2 linked regions of the Coturnix japonica genome follow. The protein of the gene in region 2 purifies or fractionates together with the protein of the main gene of each other region. This does not show direct contact. Links are inferred from orthologs where the notes say so. Each region holds a gene or a part of one and is shown on either strand. Other genes may lie near its edges. The genes, in order: FKBP5 and MOS.

Evidence for each region.
Region 1: the proteins of MOS (region 2) and FKBP5 purify together in Homo sapiens (affinity purification with mass spectrometry; 3 studies listed by BioGRID and IntAct, counting the BioPlex papers as one, with this or other methods). This does not show direct contact. The link is inferred for Coturnix japonica from reciprocal best matches to the Homo sapiens genes MOS and FKBP5.

Annotation. Positions count from the first base shown.
Region 1 is NC_029541.1:450,177-457,490, forward strand, and holds part of FKBP5 (peptidyl-prolyl cis-trans isomerase FKBP5), read right to left. Parts: intron 4,972-7,314; coding exon 4,815-4,971; intron 4,244-4,814; coding exon 4,153-4,243; intron 3,255-4,152; coding exon 3,171-3,254; intron 2,609-3,170; coding exon 2,423-2,608; intron 1,951-2,422; coding exon 1,711-1,950; intron 483-1,710; coding exon 399-482; 3' UTR 1-398. UniProt on the Homo sapiens protein: Immunophilin protein with PPIase and co-chaperone activities. Component of unligated steroid receptors heterocomplexes through interaction with heat-shock protein 90 (HSP90).
Region 2 is NC_029517.1:100,573,107-100,581,228, forward strand, and holds the start of MOS (proto-oncogene serine/threonine-protein kinase mos), read right to left. Parts: upstream 5,388-8,122; 5' UTR 1,679-5,387; coding exon 572-1,678; 3' UTR 1-571.

The sequences.
Region 1 (7,314 bases), on a different chromosome or scaffold from region 2:
CAGCCCCCCTCCCCAGCCCCACGGTGAGGAGGAGAAGGAGGAGGAAGGCAGCACAGGAGGAAGGCTTGGTTGTATCCTGCTGCAGTGCTCCCACATCCCAGCTCCTCCCCGAGGACATAGAGCAAGGTGAGCCTCCTGAAGCTGGGAGTTCCAGCTTTGATTTCTTTGTTCCCCACCCCTGCGAAGGTGGTTGTTCCACTGGTGGTGGTCCCACGCCATCCAACTGCTCGCAGCCAGCAGCAGCACCGGACTGGTCTGATCTCTGCGAGGCACTTTTGCTTCCACAATCACACAAACTGGAACAAACTTTACAAGGAAACACCAGCAGGTCCTGAGTCCTGGCAAAGTTCTTGGCACAGGCTGAGGGCAGGAGGCTCGTCCTTCTGCCACCCCCTCCATCATACGTGCCCCTCTGCCTCTTTGCCTTCATCACATGCTGCTGTTGCTGCCTCTTTTTCTACCCTGGTCTTGTTGGCTGCTTCCTGAAAGAGAGCATATGGAGCACAGAGTGAGAAACAGGAACGCTGGGCTATGGAGCTGCAGCCCACGTGCTGGGCAACACCTGTGGTTCATACATGGAGATACAGGTGCAGCCCATACACACAGAACAGATGCAGCCCATACACAACCTAGAGTTGTATGCCATACATACTTAGAGCTACAGCCCATACACAAGTATAGCTGCAGCCCATACGGACCTATAGCTGCACTCCATATACAAACACAGCAGCAACTCATATACAACCATTAGCTGTAGCCCATAGGTAGACCTATAGCTGCAGCTCATGCAGACCTATTACCACACCCTACACAGACCTAAATAGGTACACTGGTTCAGAAGATATTATACCAGAATGACCCACACAGACTATTAAGTTGTCCTCTCCTGTTACAGTACACAGTACGACATTGGTTTTTGTTTCAAGAAATTTTGGATAAGAGCCTATTATGAGAAAGCGATCTTTCATGGGTTACATAATTCAGGAAATACACACTATCATGTCTCAAACTCCCCCAGCCCTGCCAGCGAGTGGCTGACATTTCGCTTTACCCAATTCATCAACTGCCGCGGGACGGGACAGAACCTGGAGCACAAACACCAAATCTGTCATCAGCTGTTGTGAGTCCACATCCTAAACACTGTGATCGACAACCAAGCACCTGACAGCAGCTTCTGCATGCGACAGACCAAGAACCAAGGGGCTCCATCCCATGCTGCTCTGTCAGCCCACACACAGCCTAAAGCTGCAGTCTATCCATCCCTACAGCTGCCGCCCATAAATGAACTACAGCAACAGCCCATGTAGACCTATAGCTGCAGCCCATATAAGACCCTCATGGCCTAAAGTTGTGCCAGGCGAGATTCAGGTTGGATGTTAGGAAACACCTCTCCAACAAAGTGGTCAGGTGCTGAAAACAGCTGCCCAGTGAGGTGGTGGAGTCACTGACCCTGGAAGTGTTCAAGAAACATTTAGATGTTGTACTGAGGGACATGGTTTAGTGGGAAATATTGGTGGAAGGAAGATGGTTGGACTGGATGATCTTGTAGGTCTTATCCAACCTTGGCGATAGTAAAATTCTATGAACCTATGCATGACCTATAGCTGCCACCCACACCTCCATCCTTGTCCCAGCCTCCACTTGCTGTTTTTCAGCCCCATCACCCTGCTGAGCATCCCAAACCTGACCCCCCAGGCATGCACAACAAACCTTTGCATCCCTCTCAGCAAACTTGGCAAACATGTTGGCGTAGATCCTCCTGTCCCGTTCATTGTGCTCCTTTGTCTTCTTCTGGCAAATGGAGATCTGCGACCTGGCTGCTTTGTTCTGTGGATTCACTTCCAGCACCTTTTGAAAGTCACATTTTGCCAGCTCAAACTCGTTCATCAGCAGCCGGGCTTCGCCCCGCCGGTACAAGCCCTTCTCGTTGTCCTGGTCCAGCCCCAGTGCCTGCAAGCACAGAGTTCTCCATAGCTCAGCAACCCTCAGAAGCTTATTTGCTATGGATACAGTGGGCTTTTGTCCCAGCTTCATGTTATTTCCTTACAGTGAAAGCCTCCTGAGAGCCCCAGATTCATCTCATTCATAACATCAGTTTGGGTTAAGGCAGCAAGCCTCACGCAACAAAGAACCAGAGGCAAGGTTCTTAAACTTCGGTGGACGCCTCACTCTGAAGACACCCAAAGTCAGGCTGGACAGGGCTCTGAGCACCTGATGGAGCTGTGGGTGTCACTGTGCACTGCAGGGAGTAGGACCAGATGGCCTTCAAAGGTCCCTTTCCACCCAAACAATTCTAGATTTGAGCCTTTTATAAAATAAGTGTCCTTAATGCGACCAACACAGTGCCCTTAGGAAACCGCTGCTTGTGCAAAGACAAACTGAACAGGGAAGGAAGACTGAAACAAAAGTCATGCTTCCATACCTTATCACAGCACTCAACAGCTTTGGTGTACTCGCGCAGCTTCAAGTAGCACATGGCCAGGTTGAGGAAGGCAGCCAGCAGGAAGGAATCGGAGGCTTTCGATTCCTTCTCCGACAAGCCATACTCCATCTCCAGCCAGGACACGATCTTCCCATACTGAATCACCGCCTGCAGGTATTTGCCTTCCTGAGAAGGAGCAAAGACAGGACACAGGGAAGGGCTTAAAACTAAAGGAGGGGAGGTTTACACTCAGTGTTAGGGCAGAGTTCTTTATCCAGGGGGCAGAGAGGCTCTGGCACATCTGCCCAGATCTGTGGGTACCCCATCCCTGGTGGTGCCTCATGCCATGGATGGAGCCATGGGCAGTCTGAGCTGGCAGGGTGGAAGGGCTTGGGGGGCTGTGAGGGCCCTTCTGACTGAACCATTTTAAAGTTTTATGATCTTTAAGGTATCTTCCAACCCAATTATTCCATGGTTCTATGATTATACTTCAGACTCAGAAAGACAGTGGATCTGCTGAGGACAGTGAGCAGCTGGGCTGGCAGAAGTGGATGAGGCTGCATGGCCCCAGTAAAGCTGCACTTCCTATGGAGTATATTTGTTACATAGGGAGAGGAACTGGCAAAGGACTGGCACTTTTTGGGAAGGGAAATTTCTGACATTTTGACCCCTTGAAGACCCAGTGAGGTGAACTTGCTCCAAGTGCCCAGCAGCGCAGCTACCTGCTCCTGCCTCAGGTGTCACAAACCTTGAAGTACATTGTCCCCTTCTCCTTGACGATGGCAGCCTGCTCCAGCTTCTCTTTGGTGTCCATCTCCCAAGACTCTTTGGCCTGCAAAGAAATACTCAGAGCCACCATCCCATGGCGTAGCAACGGTTGCACAGTGGGAGCAGTGCTGACTCAACACATCCTGCAACTCCAAACACCAGTCCCACCTTCATGCACACACACTTAGGAAGTGGTAAGAAGAGCAAAATTAATGGGATGCCGCAATCCAGGCAGCCCCAGGAGGCTTTGGAGGATTTCTCTTTAATAGTGGGGCTCAGCAGGGTGGTCTTATGCAGGACAGAGGGCTGAATTTGAGGGACTGGAGAAAATAGGGAATAGGAAACATTCATGGAGCAATGCAAAGCGCACGCCTGTGGTACAGAGAAACCACTGCAGGGATGAAACGTACTCTGAGCCCAGCAATACAGCACGGCTTGTCCACTGCCATACACCCACTGCAACCCCACAGAATGAAAAATTCCAGCATAAAACAAACCCCCAAAAGGTTTTTTCTTTAACTGAAAAAACAAAATTACAAAGATGGGAAGATCTCTCCTAAGTATAGGGCAGGCAGAGGTTTTTGGCACCATCCCTGCTCCAGCCAAGGTTAGGGACCCAGCAGCACCTGTGCTGTCCCCACTCTCTGTTCTCATCCCCAGCCCCTCCAGCACTAACCCCAACCCTCCCTCATCAGGACACAAAACTTAATTATTATTTTTTTCTGTGCAGTCCAAGGAGATAGAAAACAAAACAAAACAAAAAGTACAAAAGGAACAAGGTTAGGAACAAATAAAAAAAACAGCCTTGGAGCTGGGCCAGAAAAATGAAACAAACCAACACACAAGAACAAATTAAGAACACGGCGATACTTGCTGACGTCTCCACTTCAGCAGGGCCCGCAGAGCAGCAACACCAGGGACAAAGGGTGATTGTGGGGGGGTCCTGCCCTTCCTGCCCTCACCTTCTCAAAGCTTTTCAGTGTGACTTCGTACACCAGCTCAGCGTTTGCCTGAATGCCATACTTGGGTTTCCCTGCCTCGCCGAAGCCGTATCTGCAGGGAGGAAGAGAGCAGCTCAGGTGGGGGTCAGAGGCACCCACAGCCTCCTCCAAACCCCATCCTTCCTCTGCTAACTCTACCATTCTCCTCCTAAATAACCCCCTTCATCAACCAGCATCTTTAAAAAGCAGGAAAAGCTAAATCCCCTATATATCTTCATTTTAGCAAGCACTCACCCAAGTTGCTCACTGTTCTCACAACTGGCTCCATGCTAATACTGCTGGGTTGGAGCACTGTTATTCTCCAGAAGCAAAGACATGTCGCAGCATACAATGCAGTACAACACGTGCATCTCCAGATGCACACAGGTGCACCAGACCTGGCTTTACACTGCTTTCAACATGTGCCAGGACAAGGAATGGTGATTTCCTGAGCCCCGACAGCTGGATAAAGATCCTTTCAAGTCCCTGCCTCCCACTCACTCCTCTGGCAGTCCCTGCTGGTGACACTAACATATCCAACAGAAGTTCTGTTGGCACATCTGCATTTTCACAAATGCTCTAATGGCCTCCAATGTTGGAAGTTTCAACCCTGCTCCAAGCAGTATGAGCACAGGATCCCTTACCGTGGCCCCAGGTAGAGGATGCAGTGCTCTCCCCTCTGCATCTTCTCCAGTGCTTTGTCAATGCCAATAGGGATGTCGTGGTCCTCCCCTTCGCCCACCACAAACTTCACATCCTTGCAGTCAAAGCGGGTTCCACCACAGAACCCCTCCAGGTGAACTGTGGGACAGAGTGAAGACCACGGGCAGTCAGCACCGTGTGGCTCCCATAAATCATTTTCCAAAGGATTCTGCACATAGGTGACACTTAAGGAAGTGGAAGCAGAGCTGGGGCAATTCCATTCAGCGACCACATCCACCACAAGACCCCCAAATCCCCCCCACGTCCCCCCAGCTGAGCCAGAGCCCTGGAAGCACCAGAGGAGACAGTGAGCAGAGAGGGGTGGGAGGGCTTGGACAGCATTGCTAAAAAGCAGTGCAGCCGTATCTCATCCCAGCAAGGACCAGACAACAGATAAACATTATGACTAATATGTTCCCCTTGTGCTGCACTGCACAAGTCAGCCTTACTGGAACTGGATACTGCCCCTGGCACACTGCCATGCAGAGTTCACCGTGGTGATTACAGATCTCCTATACAGCACTATACACTCGCCTTACACCTCAAAAACAAGGCCATGTTCTCCTGCCTCTGCTAAACTGAAAGTACAAGACAAAGGTTCAGTCTTTCCATCTTCAAGCAATATGCTGTTCCAGCCCATGGAGCTGGCAGGGGCTCGGCAGGGTGGACAGCAGACATGGCAAATTTGCCACCTGGTGCTTCTAGGATGATTTCCACCCTGAGTTCTTTCCTTATTTATTCAGTCCTGAGGATGGTGTGCATTCAGGGGACAGTGGGTGTTCCCTGCACTCAAAGCAAGCCAAGTAAAAGTGATCCCACAAGATGCTCCTACCTACTGCAGGAAAACTCCCCCAGAGCCTTCAAATGGTAGGAAAAAAAAATCATGGTTAGGCATTAATGCTGCCAAAAGTGTTTAAGGATGCTGCAGCAGAACCCAACAGCATGGATGGATGGATATGAGTTTCTTGAGTGCATGCTGCTGAGAAGCCAGAAGGGTTTTTATTGCCAATATAAATGCTGCTAAAGCAGGGAGAGACGAGAGAAAAAAATTAACCCCTTTTCTAAGCAGGGATGGTTTGGCCACTCATTGATGCGCTGCCAAGGACAGTACTCTGCTTTGTGCAGCTGGTCTGCATGATGGAAAACCCACCTGCTGTTCCAGGGCTAAACCCTGCTGAGCACCTTGGGAAAACGGAACATTCAGCCTAAAGCACAAGCAGCCCACCAACCTCATGGCTCCTTGCTGTCTCTGTGCTTTCTGCGCCCACCATCCCTGGCCCTGCGGATCCCTGGGTCACCTGTCAGCAGCAGGACAAGCTGATCCCACAAGCCCTCCTCAACAACAGGATGCCCAGAAGAACACGAGCTCCCAGCCCTCGCTTCAAGAGAAGCAGAAGAGTTTTCCTTCCATTCTAATTGCACACTAGAGATGGGGAAATCTCTGCTCCGGTTTCCAGGAGCATTTCAGCGCTATCTGAAGCAGGTCAGCTGGCTGCGGTTGCTCTTGGATTACAGAAAGCAAAGCCCCTGCCGGGCTCTGCACATCCCTTCGGCTGCAGTGGCTGACTTATTGTTCTCCCGGTGCCTGCAGCGATTTTGTTTTTGAAGAGCTCAGAACACAGTGTACCGAGTGCGGCTGGCACATGAACTTGATGTGCTGACAGCAATTTGTACTCAGATTAAAATGGAGAGGAGGGGGAGGGGGTGGGGAAAGGTTGTAACAAAAGCTGGAATGTGGGATTTTGACTGCAGCCCGTGTTTTAGGAACCGGAACTGCAAATTACGGCCTGTAAAACTCAAAGCTATAGAACTGCTTATGAAACTCCAGACTGGAGGTGCTCACCCTGGCTAGTGCACATGTTTCCCCAGCAGGCTTCTAACAGAGGTTTTGGGCACCTGGGAGCTATCCCTGATGCAGGGTTTGTTGGGGAGTGGAGTGAAAGACACAGAGGTGCCTGTGCACCCCCATAAACTAAGGCCGCTCCATGGGGTCCCATCTCTGCTGCTGGGCTCCCCTGCAAACAAGCCCCAAGCAAAGCACTCCAAGGTAAACAGCAGTGCATTTGGAAAATAAAAAGCCTCTCTGCACCCAAAACCTGCAAGGCTGCCAGGCTGGCTCACTGCTGCTTTGCATCTTTTCTCATTGGGATGTATTTATGGTCTCTGGCCCCAGGCTGCAGGTTGGTGCGAAGAACCTGCAGCCACCTTGGCGCAGTGCTCCTGCTCTGAGCAGCGCTGTTATGCAGCGCTGCCTCCAAGGGCATTCATCTCTATTACCCTGACTGTTTGTCTGCTCCTGTTCTCCGTGTTTGCTTGGAACCGAGCATCTACTTGAAACAGGAACAAGTCAGCTTCAAGGTGCAGAGCACCCAGAAACACAGCTCCACAGAGAGCTCCGGTTGCTGTGTCCTTTCAGAGCAGCAGATGCTCACAGTATTTTCC
Region 2 (8,122 bases):
GCTATTAAATGTAAGAAGGTCCCTCCTTTCAACAGGGAGATAAGGTATTTTACATTTTTCACTCTGGAAACAACATACTTACATCTGAGAACAGGAAAAGAATAGATGACTACAAACACTGGTACTCCGTATTCAGATATGAAAATCTCATATGCCCAGGCCTAGTTCATCTATCAAGATTAATCAAGAACTACATTTGTCTCATATGTGGAAATACCAGACAATATTATATACAAAACGCTATCCAGAAGCAGCACTCTTTTGTACTTGAAAACAATTTTTCTTTGTCCCCAGCTTTTCCTCTAAGTGATGGAGCTCACCAGAGATAACTAAAAAAGAGCCACTAAAAAAAAGTAAGCTATATATATTCTCACTAACACCTGGATCCTTGCCTCTCTATCCCCTCTGTAATTTAAAAACCAAATTCGTTCAATTTCTTTATTTATTTTCTTATAACAAAACATCCTTTTTTTTTTTTTTTTTTTAAATATAAAATATATCAAAGAAGCCACAGTCATTATTTTTGAAGAAAAAGTGGAGGGGAAAAAGATGAGAGTAACCTTGAGCTCTTTTAGAGGTTCCCCTTCAGGGCCCTGAGGCTGGGGAGCAGCTGGGCCGCGCTGAGGCGCTCCTCTACGTCAGCCTTCCAGCAGCAGCTGATGATGCTCTGAAGCCTTTGGCCCATTGGTGACTCGTGGAAGATGGCGGCCGACAAAGAAGGGCGCAAGTTGTAGGCTACCACAGCATAGAGCACGTACTGCCGCTCGCCCAGGTAGGGCTGCTCCCGCATGATGATCTGCCAGAGTGTGATGGCAAAGGAGTAGATGTCTGCTTTGGCAGTGACCCTCTCACCCTTGAGGAGCTCAGGCGCACGGTGGGTGTATGTGCCCCCTTGCTGGCAAACATGGTGGCTCTGGGACAAGCCTTCCTCCAGTCTCTGGGAGCAGCCAAAGTCTCCGATCTTGCATACTCCATGCTCAGTGATGAGGATATTGGCAGGCTTCAGGTCGAGGTGCACGATGCCCTGCGAGTGAAGGAAGGCTAAGCCAGTCACAATGTCACACGAGTAGCACACAGCCTCCTCCATGCTCAGAGCCTTCCTCCCACATCCTCCTTCTTCCTCCTCGCCCTGCCTCCACGCATCTTGAGTGCCATAGATGACATGGTGCAGGGTGATGTTGCCAACATATTCCATGATGATGGTGCCCAGGCTGTTCTGGCTGGCAGGGGCACACGTGCTGGCAGCCACCACACGCACCACATTATCATGCTGCAGTCGGGCTACGTTCAGCTCAGCCCAGAAGCTCTGTCGGGATGCCAGACGGTTTTTGCTGCTCTTCTTCACCTGCTTCACAGCCACAGTCACACCATGGTAGGTGGCCTTGTAGACAGCCCCAAAGCCTCCAGATCCCAAGGGCTGCAGAAGGCAGAGTCGGTCCCAGTCAATGGAGCACCAAGCCAAACGTGGGGGCAGGCGGCGTGTCCTGGGTGAGGGGGTCCCTCCTAGGAAGGCTTTTCCATCTTTGCCAGGGATAACTACAGGGCTGCTGCAAGGTCTCAAGTCTGCAGATGGGGAGAGCTCTAAAGGAAGAAAGCTATTAAAAGGAATAGGTGATGGCATAATAAGATGCCAGAAACAGTTAGGAGGACAAGAGACTGGAAGGCTTCCTTGTGGCATTTTCCAAAGGCTCTTTTATTCTCTCTGCACAATTTTCCCCTCCTACCCCCTAATGATCTGCATCTGTCTCAATGAGCTAACCCCATAATCAGGTTCATCTGAGAACATTCTTCTTCCACCCTTATGTAAATCTCCAGAAGGTAAAGGTCTATGGATTTAAAACTAAAACAGATTAGTGTGTGTGTATTTTGCATGATTTTTAATCACAGGAGATAAGAAAGATACTTTGCTCAATGAATATCTCTAGCAAAATGCCCTGGTAGTAAATAAAGTGAGTGCATTTTGCTGGGGTTGTAGGAAAATGATAATTGTCAGATGCATTAGAGAACCTGGGGTCATTCTCAGAGGACACAGCTGAGTAGTAACCACTAACATTTGATAGGCCTATGGCAGGCATAACTAAATGTAAAAGTGAGTTTAAAGGGACCTGCAACTTGTGTTTGACAGGAGGAGGTGTCAACAGAAGAATGAGAATGGGAAACCTGGATTATCACCCAGTGATGTGAAACAGATTGGCTAGGGGAGATTTAGATAAATAGGTGTTAATGTGTGGTAGGAGTTGCTATCAAGGTAGAGGTTGGAGAGAGGTCTCATAGGGGCAGGGTCCTGCTCTGACATCAGCTATGCTGGGACATCTGGGGGCAGTGGAGGACACCAACAAGGAACCTCTCTGCAGTTTTAAATATGCTGCAAAGCAACCAGTACAGACAACAGGTTGCAGCAGTGCTGGGGTTGTATACCTGTGTGGTGGCTCCACTTAAAATCTTCAGAAGAAGTGCATTCTCAGTAGGTGAGCTGTGATGATAACAGAAAGCTGCAATAAGTAAATCCATCTATACTGGAGATGGAAATGACAGCTGCTTCCCTTGAGAAACAACCACTGCAGGACGTCCTTGCCACACCTCCCAGCTACATTCAGCTCCACTGTCCCTGCTCAGAAGCAGGGTGCTGGGCTGGCAGCCCCACTCATCCCAGTGCCTTCCCCAGGAGAGCCCACACTGGGCACCCAGGAAGGCCTTCAGCTCTGCTGTTCCCATGTCGCTGCTATTCCCACAGCAATATAAGGAAAAAGGAAGCTGTGTGAACCAGTGCTTACCGGCAGGGAACTTCAGCATGTCTTGAGCTCTGGCTGCTGCAAGTGTCATTAAGAGCAAGCACGTAATAAGAACTTTTAGAAGTAAAAACAGCAAAGCATGCAGCCTGTGTCCTGAGGGCTGCAGCATGTGGCAGTGCCAATAACTTGTGGCAGGATCCTGATGTTCCAGGCTTCTATGAAACACTTTTACAGTAAAATGTACGTCTGATGCTGCAGTAGCTTCCCAGCCTCAGCTGTGCTTCAAGCTGAGGAGCACAGCATCACCCATGGGCATCTCATCTGTACTCCAGGAACTCCATCTGCCAGTGCTGTTAGCTACTACCACTGTTCATAGACTTGCAAAACAGAGCCTGTCCTGCAAACATCTTCAGGGATGGGGCACCCACCACCTCTCTGGGCAACATATTCCAGTGCCTCACCACCCTTATCGTAACAAACTTTTCACTTATATCCAGTCTAAATCTCTTTTCATTCTGCCTGAAATCATTTCCCTCTGTGCTATCACAACAGTTCCTGCTAAAGTGTCTGTCCCCTTTGTTCTTAAAGCATATGGTTAAATTCTTCTCCACAACCATTAGTTTATTTATTTGTGCATCTGCTCAGTGAAAAACACACCCCTTTTAGGCCTGTGTGTTCAGTGTCTTCTAAGAAGTGCTTTCCAGTATTAAGGTAGCACTGTTTCTATTAAATTCCTGCATTTATCTCCTAAGTACTTATTCTGCTCTGAAAACAACATGGCTCCTTAGCCTGTACCTTTGTGACTTCTGAGTTTTCTTTACCCTTTCTAAATCAAAGCTTTTTTTCCGCTTGCTGTCAGTCTCTGTGATCTCACTTTGGGGTTTGATGACAAACTGACGTTCCTTCTCACTTCTATCCTCATTTCACAGTGCAAGTGTTGCTTCCAGTCACACTTCATAGACCTCTTAACGGTATTCTGAGTTGCATGAAAGCAGTTCTGATAAAATCAATTGTGCAGGCGTAAGCGACATCATCATTTGAAGCCAGTCCATACACACAGCCTGCTCTGAGGATGGGCCACAGACGACTGTTTATTTTAACTGCAAGGACGAGCCAGAAGTGAATAGTTTGTATTTTGGAGTTATGGTTGCTTTGCAAATGACACCTTGTAGTAGCAAATGTAGACAAGTTTTCATTAAAGCGCTGAGAGGTAAACCTTAATGCCAAGAACAAGCGCATCCACGGGAGTTGCAATGCGATCTTACAGCCCTTCTTTAGAAAAGAGCCATAATAATAAACATTTTAAAAGGTTAAATCCTGGTTTATAAATAATAAGATCAAGTTTCAAACACACACTGCCAAACAGTCGCTCCATATTTTTTTATTTTCATCCCCAAAAGGTTACTGTGTTTCAGAGCAGCAAGCAGAGGCTCTCCCTGCTGCAATGCTCTGAGGTGTTACCTGGAGGCAGCTGGAGGAAAGCAGGGGGGGGTCTCATGGCCCATTCACTATGAACACAATTGGACCAGTGATTACAACTTGGAACCTGGTGCTGTGGGTTAATATCACAGTTGCAGAAGAGCACCCTTGAGACGAAATGGTCTAAATTTAGGTGTGAGGATGATAAAGGTGAAACTCTGGACCGCAGAACACTTTCAGGTGACACAGAGATGGGTGCCTCTCCCTGTGGGATTACTGCTGTATAAGGCAGGCACATCATGCAGTGCTTCCAGCCACATTGGCCAAGAGTGTTTTTGCAGTCCTGCCCCTGTAGCGCAGCTAACAAACAGCTTTGCTGGGTTGTGGGGTGATAACAAAGAGCATTGGTGGAATTTGAGAGTTGTAGGTCAGGGAATAGAAAACGGCTTCTGTGCTTAATGAGCAACGTGAATCAGCCACAGCAAAGGGCCAACGGGACAGCATTAGTGCTACGCAACCACTAGGTGATAGATGATTTCCCAGGCACAGCAGATGTAATGCTGATGCTTGGGACTGAACCCTTGCTGTTGCAGGTGATGTGTGGAAGGATCAGTGATCCCAGCATCCCACAAAACCCCTGACCACTGATAACACCCAGCTCCATGATCGTAATGATCGCTAGGCTGCAGCAGGACAGAATTCAGTGAGTTTGGCAAGTTAGTCTATGCTTACTTGTCCTCAGTGTTAGATAACTCCTGCTCCTACGTTACAGTTTAAAGGTTGCTCCTTTATCTTATGTCCCCTTAGTTGTACAGCATCTATACTTTATTTTCACTTTCAGTGTAAGTACTTGCGAGAGAAACTTAAGGATGTACCCATGACCACATGTGCAATCATTTAATAAAAAGGCAATAAGCCAGAGGTGAGCTTAAATTCAAAGGCTCTGCCAACAAGGACTCTTCTACTGAATATCTATCTAATGCTACACAGGGGTAGCTGAAAAACACCTTCCCCACAGGAGGCTGTGCACCCTGTAGATAAGCTGCTGCCTCTCGTAGATAAATCGAGGAATTGGAAGAAACTCTTCCAATGTGTCTGGGAAACCAAGCACTGTGTTAAGTGGGAGATACCTTTACCAATAGCGTGATTCACTTTGGACTTGAAAAATGCTGAAGTTCCATGCTTACATTTTTTGAAGTGAAACAAAATGTATTTCTCAACTTTGGAAAGTTTCCCCATGCATGCACACATGTACACACACACACACACACACCACACACACACTCTTTTGTATATATATATAGTATATATATTTGTATATATATATAGTATATATAATTATATATATATATAGTTAGTGTGCCCCGGTGGCGCAGTGGTTGGAATGCCGCGTTGCGACACCGGAGCCCAGGTTCGAATCCCCTGTGGCGCAAGTGGTAGAAGTGCCGCTCTGCTACACAGAGGCTCGAATCCCGGGGGTTGGACTCGATGATCTCTAAGGTCCCTTCCAACCCGCACGAGACTGTGATACTATGATACGATGATATATATACACAAAAGTTTAGGCAATATACTGATTTCAGATTAATCAGAAATTGTGATTAACAGGAGCTCAGGGGCACAGGTTTAGATTTCTCTGTCAAAAAAAAACCCCAAACATTCTGTATGTTAGGGTACACTTATTAAATGGAAGGAAAGAAGGGAAAGCAAAGGGAGAAAGTATAACAGATCTTTTTCTTCCATTCCTTTCTTCTACACCTTTCAAGCAAATCTGGACAAGAAGCAGTTGAAGACAGGTACCGCCTCTTCCTCCATCTGTAGAGCTGTTGACTCTTACCATGGCCAACTCTCTCAAGTCAGTTAGAAACCTGTGACACAGAAGTGACAAGTCAGTTCAGAGGCGACAGCTGGGAGTCGCAAGAAAGCAAAAGTGTCTGTATGACACAGTTAGTGACTCTGGAAAGATCCTCTCTTTCAGACTGGTGAACAGGAGAAAATCTAAAAATTAAAGAATTGGAAGAGCAGGGCATTAGTAATATACATTTTGAAGAGCAAGGAAATGCAAATTTGAAGCAGCTTAACAGCAAACGCTAATTCTTTTCCTTTCCTGGCAAACAATTCATGCTAGGAAAATGGCTACATGGAAAAAGAGCACTTTCTTCTGCAGCTTTCTGCAACTGTGGGTAGGCTGCTGGTTTCATGGTACTTCTTCACTCAGTGCATTAGTCAGACTTGTTAGCGAGGCTTCCACAGCAGTGTCACAGGCAGACAGGAGGTGTGTGGTATCAAAACAGTGAAGTTTCTCCTGGAAGCGTGTCAAGAGAGGCAACCCACACACTGTGCCTGGAACACATGCCACAGTCTCACAGTTTATCCTACGATCTATGACAACAAAAATAAATCACTTGCATTCATCTGAAGTGATGGAGAGAATCGCTCACCCATTTCTCCCACGAGACCCCCAAACTCACCTTCCAGCTTCTCAAAAGGGCAGCTTGATGGCAAATGCGACTGCTTGCTTCTATTAGAATCTGTCTTGTCACAGACACAGTAGCATCATCCAGTCTGTTCCTTGGTAAAATCATGAAAGGCAGAAACTTCTGCTCATTAGATTTGCTGCAAAACTGACATTTTACCAGTCATCAGTCAGGAACACAGTTACACCTTTGCAAAATCAGAATAACTACACCCAGGAAAACTGGATGTATGTAAAATCACTCCTTGCAATCCCAAGCATGCAGACCGAGATTATCTATTGAAATGCCAGGCATAAGTTATTCATTAACTAAAACCATTCTGTAATTTTATTGATATATTTTGTGGAGTTCACATATTTTTGTACAGCAAACATAACACTGTAGGCCACAAGAAGCTGCAGCACTATTGTTTAATAGCAGCAAGGTATATTTTATAATCAGGGTATGTGGACAATAAATAGTCTGTTTCTTTGGATGTGAATGTTTAAAATGAAGTTCTGCTGCAGCTTCATAATGTGATTGCTATTTTACAGAGCTTATACACAAAAATATATACGCAATCTTTTTGTCTATATTTTATACAAATACAACAGTAGTTTGTGAATACATTTTAAAGTACATATACATGATAAGCAACTCAATTTCCCATATCACAGGATAGCAAATTTTAAATGCAAGAAACATACACAAATTCTGTCTGGAATGCAGGGTTTTCTGTGTTCTTTTTTTTTTTTTTTTTTTTTTTTTCCCTCTGTTTTTGACTCAAAAATTTGATCATTCAAACATTTTAGCATTCGAGTCCAAACGATTTTCCCACTATCTATAAAATAGAATTTCAGCAATCCAAGCCAGGTTTGGGTGTGTCATCATTCCCCAATATACTCTTTCCCAGTTTTTGTCTAAATTCAGAAGCTTTTAGTAATATATAGTATGTTCTTCACTCCACACCATATAAAAAGCCCACGTTTAATTGTAACTAAATCATCTATTTTTTTTATCTTTTTTTTATGTGAATAAGAGCTGGGCTTGTCAGCGTTTAAATTTGCATGTCCAACATTTTAATTCTGCAAGTGCATATGAATACATTGTGGTGTTGTACAAAGTTCATTAATGACAAATTAAGTCACAGTATAAAAATATATCATACAACTATAGGTCTAGTATAGTCCTTTTTTTCTATGGGTAAAAATACATCTGAATGAGACAGGGAGGTTTGTAGCACCATGAGAGGAGTTGTATCCCAAGTTACATTAGCAGCATGATCCAATATAACAATATTGCAGGAGTGTTTCTGAGGAGATAAACATTCACTCTGGTTCAACTGTACCACTGAAGCTTATACTGAAAAGTGTTTACATATGATTAGCAATAGTTCTGTGTCACTTCCAGGGCTAGATAACTGTTATCAAAAGACACTGCCTTCCAACAAAGTAAGACACCCTTATTACATAAAGCTTTGGGACAATCCAAACACATTTTTGAACCACTGTGGCA